2 linked regions of the Schizosaccharomyces pombe genome follow. Changing the gene in region 1 together with any one later gene gives a genetic interaction. Each region holds a gene or a part of one and is shown in the gene's direction. Other genes may lie near its edges.

What was found. A genetic interaction does not mean that the proteins touch.
Region 2: mutations in swi6 (region 1) and sgo2 impair growth when combined (synthetic growth defect), as found in Schizosaccharomyces pombe (4 studies listed by BioGRID, with this or other methods).

The regions. Positions count from the first base shown.
Region 1 is NC_003424.3:1,702,327-1,706,083, reverse strand, and holds swi6 (heterochromatin (HP1) family chromodomain protein Swi6), read left to right. Parts: upstream 1-1,985; 5' UTR 1,986-2,082; coding exon 2,083-3,069; 3' UTR 3,070-3,678; downstream 3,679-3,757. Other genes in the region: Ino80 complex actin-like protein Arp8, read left to right, coding at 1-1,103.
Region 2 is NC_003424.3:3,712,181-3,715,937, forward strand, and holds the start of sgo2 (shugoshin Sgo2), read left to right. Parts: upstream 1-1,961; 5' UTR 1,962-2,006; coding exon 2,007-2,043; exon of another isoform or gene 2,044-2,081; coding exon 2,082-2,121; exon of another isoform or gene 2,122-2,171; coding exon 2,172-2,404; exon of another isoform or gene 2,405-2,447; coding exon 2,448-2,515; exon of another isoform or gene 2,516-2,567; coding exon 2,568-3,757. Other genes in the region: protein kinase domain and HEAT repeat protein Ppk3, read left to right, coding at 1-747, 788-916, 967-1,139, 1,199-1,580. UniProt on the Schizosaccharomyces pombe protein: Involved in chromosome cohesion during mitosis and meiosis by preventing premature dissociation of cohesin complex from centromeres after prophase, when most of cohesin complex dissociates from chromosomes arms.

The DNA.
Region 1 (3,757 bases):
ACGATAGAGTGTACGTGGAGAAAATATTAGACATTTTATTTTTTGATTTGCATTTTGGAAAGGCTGCCATAGTCCAAGAATCGCTGTGCACTTCATTTGGTGCTGGAATGTCTGCTGCTTGTGTTGTCGATATGGGCGCTCAGAAAACATCCATCAGTTGTGTAGAAGAAGGGGTTGTCGTTCCCAACTCAAGGATAAAAATAAACTATGGAGGAGATGACATTACGCTTTTATTCATGAAATTACTCATGAGAAGTCATTTCCCGTATCAGGATATTGACTTAAAAACTCCGTATGATTGGTCTTTAGCCAATGCTTTAAAAATAAAATATTGTGGCCTAAGTGAAGCAACCTATAATGTTCAATTGAATAGCTTCTTTTCGCGAACACCTGATAAAGGGACTAGAAAATTTACATTTAAAAGCCTTGACGAAACAATGCTTGCACCTCTTGGATTCTTTCGCCCTGACATTTTTGAAAATGAAAATAAACTTCATGATCGGTATACTTTGTTTCCAGTGCCGGTCGATGTATATGACAACCAACCGAATAATCCCGAATCACTTGCCCAAACCACTTTATTGCAAATATCTACGCCGATATCCAACATCAAAGCTAATGGAAAAGATGATGAAGAGAAAAAAGAAGAAAGTGATTTGGTGACACCTTCGGTAAAATTCAAGCCTCCACGGGTAGTATATTGTGGCTCACTTGCTGCTCCAGAAATAAAGAATGAGAAACTGATATATCCTTTGGATGATGCAATCAACCAGAGTATATTTAGTGCATGTGATGGAAATTTAAGTGATGAGAAGGCAAAAAATCTTTACTCAAGCATTTTGATCGTCGGTGGAGCTGGTCAGTTCCCGGGCTTTGCTCATTTACTGGAAGAGCGTATCCATTCCAAGCGTGCCAACATCCCTACTATTTCGGTAATTCCTCCACCAAGAAGTATGGATGCTCAATTTGTTGCCTGGAAGGGTGCTTGTATATACAATCGCATTCGGATCGTATCGGAGCTGTGGATAAAAAACAGCGATTGGAAAATGTTAGGTAGCCGTGTCTTGCAATACAAGACATTGGGTTATTTTTGGACTGGCTAAACCATATGTTTATGCTTTCATATTCGTTACTAATTTTTTAATGCAACACCATATGTTTTTGCTATTTTTCATTATTTTTAGATGTTAATAAACCATGGTCTACAAAAACAGTACAGATGCCTCTAAGTTCATGTTTTTTGAAATTTTGAAGATACTTCATCAACTACTCATTCTTTTTGATATTTGAGTGCTCAAATAAGTTGAATTTATCATAATTTCCCTAAGTACGTATTTCTTTAAACGTACCATTTTGTATTTAAGTAATCTTTACATTCCAAAAATTGTAGTATCATTGTAAAAAAATTGAAAAAATAAACTCCCAAGGCGAGACTCGAACTCGCAACCTTCTGATTACCATCATAAGAGTCAGACGCTCTAAACCGATTGAGCCACTCGGGACTTCGTTGACGACTTAAGTTATTCAGTGTAATATGTAGTGCAAAAAGAATCCTCATAAGAATATATATTTTGTTGTTTGACGATGATTGCCTACGAAATTTAAAAGGTGGAATTGTTTTCTAGTTAAGATTGTTTATCAATCTTGAGAGACTCAGCATTGCTTTAGAAAACAAATCAGCATGCCAACCGTAACAGCCAAATATCTTGTTACTCGCAGCATTACTTAAAATGTTAATTTTATTTCTAACGGTAATATTTGTTCAATATTTTCGTATTTCGCATTAAGTAAATCACTAGGAAATTGAGATGCTTTTGAAATAATGATTATTACTGATAGTGATCTAAGCAAAATTAGGCGTCGTTAATCAACTTTTAGACAACGATTAATACAGTACTTCTATGCAATATTTTAATAAACGAACTCTATGTGATGCTAGCCATTCTGTACACCATGAAAAGCAAGCCAAACATGTCTCGCTAAACGAGCAAACAACCTGTAAAGACCAACGCGAAATTGATGTTTAGTACTTTTTAAAATATTCTGAAATCTCGTTTATTTTCATATTAAGACAAGTGAAAAATGAAGAAAGGAGGTGTTCGATCTTATCGGCGCTCCTCTACTTCAAAACGATCAGTTATTGACGACGATTCGGAACCAGAGTTACCAAGCATGACAAAGGAGGCTATTGCTTCTCATAAAGCAGACTCTGGGTCGTCGGACAATGAAGTTGAAAGCGATCATGAAAGTAAATCTTCGTCGAAGAAATTGAAAGAAAATGCCAAAGAAGAAGAAGGAGGAGAAGAAGAAGAAGAGGATGAATATGTTGTAGAAAAGGTTTTAAAACACCGTATGGCGAGAAAAGGTGGAGGCTATGAATACCTTTTGAAATGGGAAGGTTATGACGATCCCAGTGATAATACATGGAGTTCAGAAGCCGATTGTAGCGGTTGCAAACAGTTGATAGAAGCATATTGGAATGAACATGGAGGAAGACCAGAACCTTCTAAAAGAAAGAGGACTGCAAGACCTAAAAAGCCCGAAGCAAAGGAGCCTTCACCAAAGTCTCGTAAAACTGATGAAGATAAACACGACAAAGATTCCAATGAAAAGATTGAAGATGTGAATGAGAAAACTATTAAATTCGCCGATAAATCGCAAGAGGAATTTAATGAGAACGGCCCACCTTCTGGTCAGCCGAATGGTCACATTGAATCTGACAATGAGTCTAAATCTCCTTCACAAAAAGAATCGAATGAAAGTGAGGATATTCAAATAGCAGAGACCCCTAGCAATGTTACTCCGAAAAAGAAGCCTAGTCCGGAAGTTCCCAAACTTCCGGACAACAGAGAGCTGACGGTTAAACAAGTAGAAAACTATGATTCTTGGGAAGACTTGGTATCTAGCATCGATACAATTGAACGAAAAGATGATGGAACCTTGGAAATTTATCTGACTTGGAAGAACGGTGCAATATCTCATCATCCTAGTACTATCACCAATAAAAAATGTCCTCAGAAGATGCTTCAATTTTATGAAAGCCACTTAACGTTCCGTGAAAATGAATAATTTTTTTGTGTTCCTTTAAAAAATTCTTTTTCTTTTGTTTATAAATTAGATTTCGCTTTTTTCTGACGTTATTGCTTTTATCAAGTCCCGTGTCGTAGTATGAGTTCTTGTTCTCTTACTCGAAAAATGCATCTAACATTATACTTATACAAATTTTTGTTAGGCGCTTAACATCACATTCTAGTTTATGAACGCCTTTGTTTTCTTTCACATTGAATTGATTACGAGTGACTTGAGAAATGTAAAATACCTTTTGTCGTTATGGTTTGACATTCTAAATAACCTAAGGTTTGACATTCTAGATAACCTAATTTCTTTAATTTTACCATTTATTAATTTAGCATGCACTGCTCTTCATGCATTCAAAATCGTGTCTAATAATAACGTAATTTTACTCGTTAAATAAAGAATTTATGCATGCAAAATCGTTACTCATAAACCTCAGCAGATAAATTTGTTAACAAAAATGAGGGTGCATGAATATCTGCCTTCTCCGTTTCTTCTGTTCCATATGCTTCTAAGTTTGGGTTACCAACTGAACTCAAAGATAGGGTCAAGATGTAGTGTATCAAGTTTGAATCTTTATCAAGTACTATGTTGCCTCTTGAGAAATTCGTTTGAGAATAGCTGTATAGCTAAAGATAAATAAGGGTTTGAATGTAATTGTTGCTATGTAAACACAGTTGTA
Region 2 (3,757 bases), 2.0 Mb from region 1:
GATTCACCACAATTTATAAAGGATAATCATGACAAAATTCTGAACTGGAGTCGGTTGGTTCCGTTTGAAATTCAGTCTTCAACATTAAATAGTGCTTCATTCATTTACTTGGATTCTTATGAATTGGGAAAGTTCATTTCTCATCTTTATAATGGAACGCCAGGGGACTTATCTCAGCGTGGAAACATTCCAGCCAATATATTTGTTTCTGCAAAAAAACTGTTGAATGTGGAAGGAAAGCAAAAGTTATTAGCTTCAGAATTTCTAAAACTTGGCGAGCGTCCTGGGGGGTTTTTTCGTACACATTTGATTACGTTATATGAACTTTTGTCCGAGGTTCGAATAAACGAAGAGGAAGATAGAGTGAAATTAAAACAACTTCTTTCGTCAAAGCTAGAAGTAATTCCTAAAAACTATATACAAAAGGTTGTATTAAACATCCTCTTTCTACTATTATCGATTGACACCCATTCGGACGTCGTTGAGCTTCTATTCAAATGTGCTCAAATTGTAAAAGGAAGACCGGATATAGAAAAAGACTTTGGAGTACCGTTATTGTCTCTTTTGAAACAACAAAGCGTTCCCATACGAGGCTTGCTACTTTCCGGAATCATTAACAATCCCGACGTGCTACCAAAGAATATATATGAAGACACTAGCTTTTCAGTTTTCGCGAACCTTGTGCGCTCCAATTCTCCCACCTTAAAAGAACATGCTATTGTTGTTTTTTCCATTATAGCACCAAAAGTAAGCCATCTTATCTTACAAATTGCTAATTAGTATACAGCTTTCGAAGAAAACATTGAATAATGAACTACTACGAAGCTTAGCGGTTGTCCAAAATGACCAACATCCTACTTTACGTACCAACAGTACCATTTGTCTAGGTAAAATTGCTGAATATTTAGATGCCAGCGTAAGACTAAGAAGAACTAAACGTTAGGACTTTATTTTTAACAGATTTAGGTGCGAAAACCCGTTTTAGCTGCTGCTTTATCACGTTCTCTTAAAGACCCATTTGTTCCTGCTAGAGAGGCAGCCTTAAAAGTACTCCTCTCAGTTCAAAATTACTTTGATACAAAGGATGTGGCCATCAAACTTTTCCCATCGGTGGTGCCATTACTAATTGATGAAAACGAGTAAGATTTTTTTGAACCTGTATACCACTTAGGAATTACTAACTTTTTGACGTTATTAGAGGAATACGAAGAACAGCTGAGGATGTCACTGACCAATTTTTGAGCCGTATAAAAAACTTTAATTTAGGGGAAAAAGAAAATGTTTCCGCACCGGCAAAATTTAATGGTTCTTTTTGGTCCAAATTTATTCATTCATCTTCTGCTTCTCCTTCGCCTTCTATCGATATGAAAAAGGAGTCGCTTGAGTTAAAAAATGATACCACTGAAATAAAAGAAAAAAAAAATTCAAAAAGTAGAGTTGTTGGAAACACTGAAAACTCTAAGGATGAATTCAATAATCCTCTTTTTGAAACAGAGGAACAGATAGACGAATCTTGGATGGAAAACTGGAATGACGAAGAGGAAACAGAAAATAACGTAGAGGAAAGTTGGGGGTTATAATTTGATTGAATTTAATTAATAATTTTTCGTGGTCAAGATTAATTCACGACTAAATCACATGTCGACTAAGTACTCCATGTACTACTCGTTTTGACATATTTCAATCAAGCTTGATTTTTAATAATTAATATTTTTAATAGCTAATTATTTTTCTCTTTGAACATTTATTAATACCACTGAAAGGATTAGTGAATGGTAGTTCTTTCTTTAGTTATCTATCTATTCGTAAATTCAAAGTATAGTAAATGTAAAAGGATTTTAATGTTCTTTTCAAAGAGTGTATCATTAGTAGTCAAATAATTCGTACTTCGACTATCCAGCACCTCTACACCTTGTTGATAATGATACTGCTGTACAGCCGCGTTTAAGTACTAAACCTCCACCGGGAACGTGGTCAATGAAGTACATCGGGATTTTCTATTTATAATGTCGAAAGCATCTCTTTCCCCGAACGTAGAAGACTGTACGTGATACTTATATTAATCTCAACTGATGAATTAGTGAAAAAAAAGCAAATTCGACAGTATAAGGAAATTATACGGTACGCATACATTTTTGTTGGAATTGAATAATTAATTAACACATACAAAGAATAAGCAAGGCACAATCAATTAGAATTAAAGAATTGCAGTTAGAAAATGAACGGTTGCTTTCGGAAAATATCGATTTGAGGACTACAGCGATAAACTTGGAAGAGCAACTCGAAACCGTGCAAAACGAAAACGAAGAAAACAAAACAAAGTTAGCTGCATTACTTAATCGATTTCATGAAGAAACAGATAATTTTTTATCAAAATTAAGTCTTTGTCAGCAAGAAATACAAGGTACGTGTTTGAATTCATATCGTTTTTAGCTAATTGAACACAGACACCTTCAAACCAGTGGAGGCTAACTTAGCTTACGATGTCGATACGGATTCTGAAGACCTTGACGAGGTAAGTTGAATCGTATTATGTTTTTCAGATATGTTTATCTAACGTCTGAAAGGAATCCGTCGTGAAAGATACCGAAGAAATAATTGAGCAAGCTCAGCATGATGTTTCCTTACGAAATTTAAGTGGAATAGAGGATGAAAATATAATTGATGACGGAGAAACTGCTATAAATGAACAAAAAAAAAGAGAAGCTAATGTTTTTTCCGACACGCAATCAGCACCTCAGCTAAAATCCGGCAAAGCCCTCCCAGCTGATTTTGAAAATCCTTACAATCTATCCAATTCGAAACCTGTAAATAATAATAATGAAGATAGAGTTGAAGCGGTTACTTCTGAAAATAAATCTATCGATTCTGCTCCTCAGGAAAAAAATCATGAATACGAAATCGTTAGTCCAAAATCATTATCCAACAAAATTAATAATCAAGCAGCTGCACAAAGAAGAACCGAAGAAGATAATGCAAATGGAGTTGCTCAAGAAGAAAATGAGGGTTCACAAGAAGCTCATTTTCATAGCAGAATACAATCTGATACAGTAATACAAAGTACACCCACTAAACGGAAATGGGACGTTGACATTCAAAATAAACAAATTAATCTGGCTTCTGCAGCTACCAATGTTACCGGTTATGTATCGGAGACCGATAGTCGCCCCAATCGCGCAAACTCTTTGGATTCTGCTGTCCTTCTTGTGCAATCTTCAAATAAAAGTAACCGAAATGGGCATCATATTTCAGATCCTAATTTAAATAGCTCCATATCGTTGAAGTTTGCGCCTGAAGATACTGCGCATAATTCATTAACTTCACAAGAGAATGTTGGGCCTCAGGTTACGACGACTTCTCTGTCAAATATGACTGTTGCTGAATCTCCTCGTACAGACACTCCAAGGGAAATAAACGGGTTAGTAGACTCTTCTGTCACTAATGGGAACGAAAAATTTTCTGTAGAAATAATGAATGACTCTAACAAAATTGGACTGAATCCTAAATCTTTTACCGACGAAGAGCGGGAAATTTTAACACTTTTTCGAAATCCTCCCATGAGACTGTCAAGTGAACCTCCATCTTCAAATGGATTTTCAATAGCCCATCCCAATAATTCTCCGTTACGTCCGCCATCGCTACAAGGAATATTGAATGCTGAAGATCGACCTTACGAAATTGAGCCGTCACGTAGCTCCTTTGCTACCAACGATACGGGCTCCTATAATAATTTGGAACTTCTGTCATCTGTAACGAA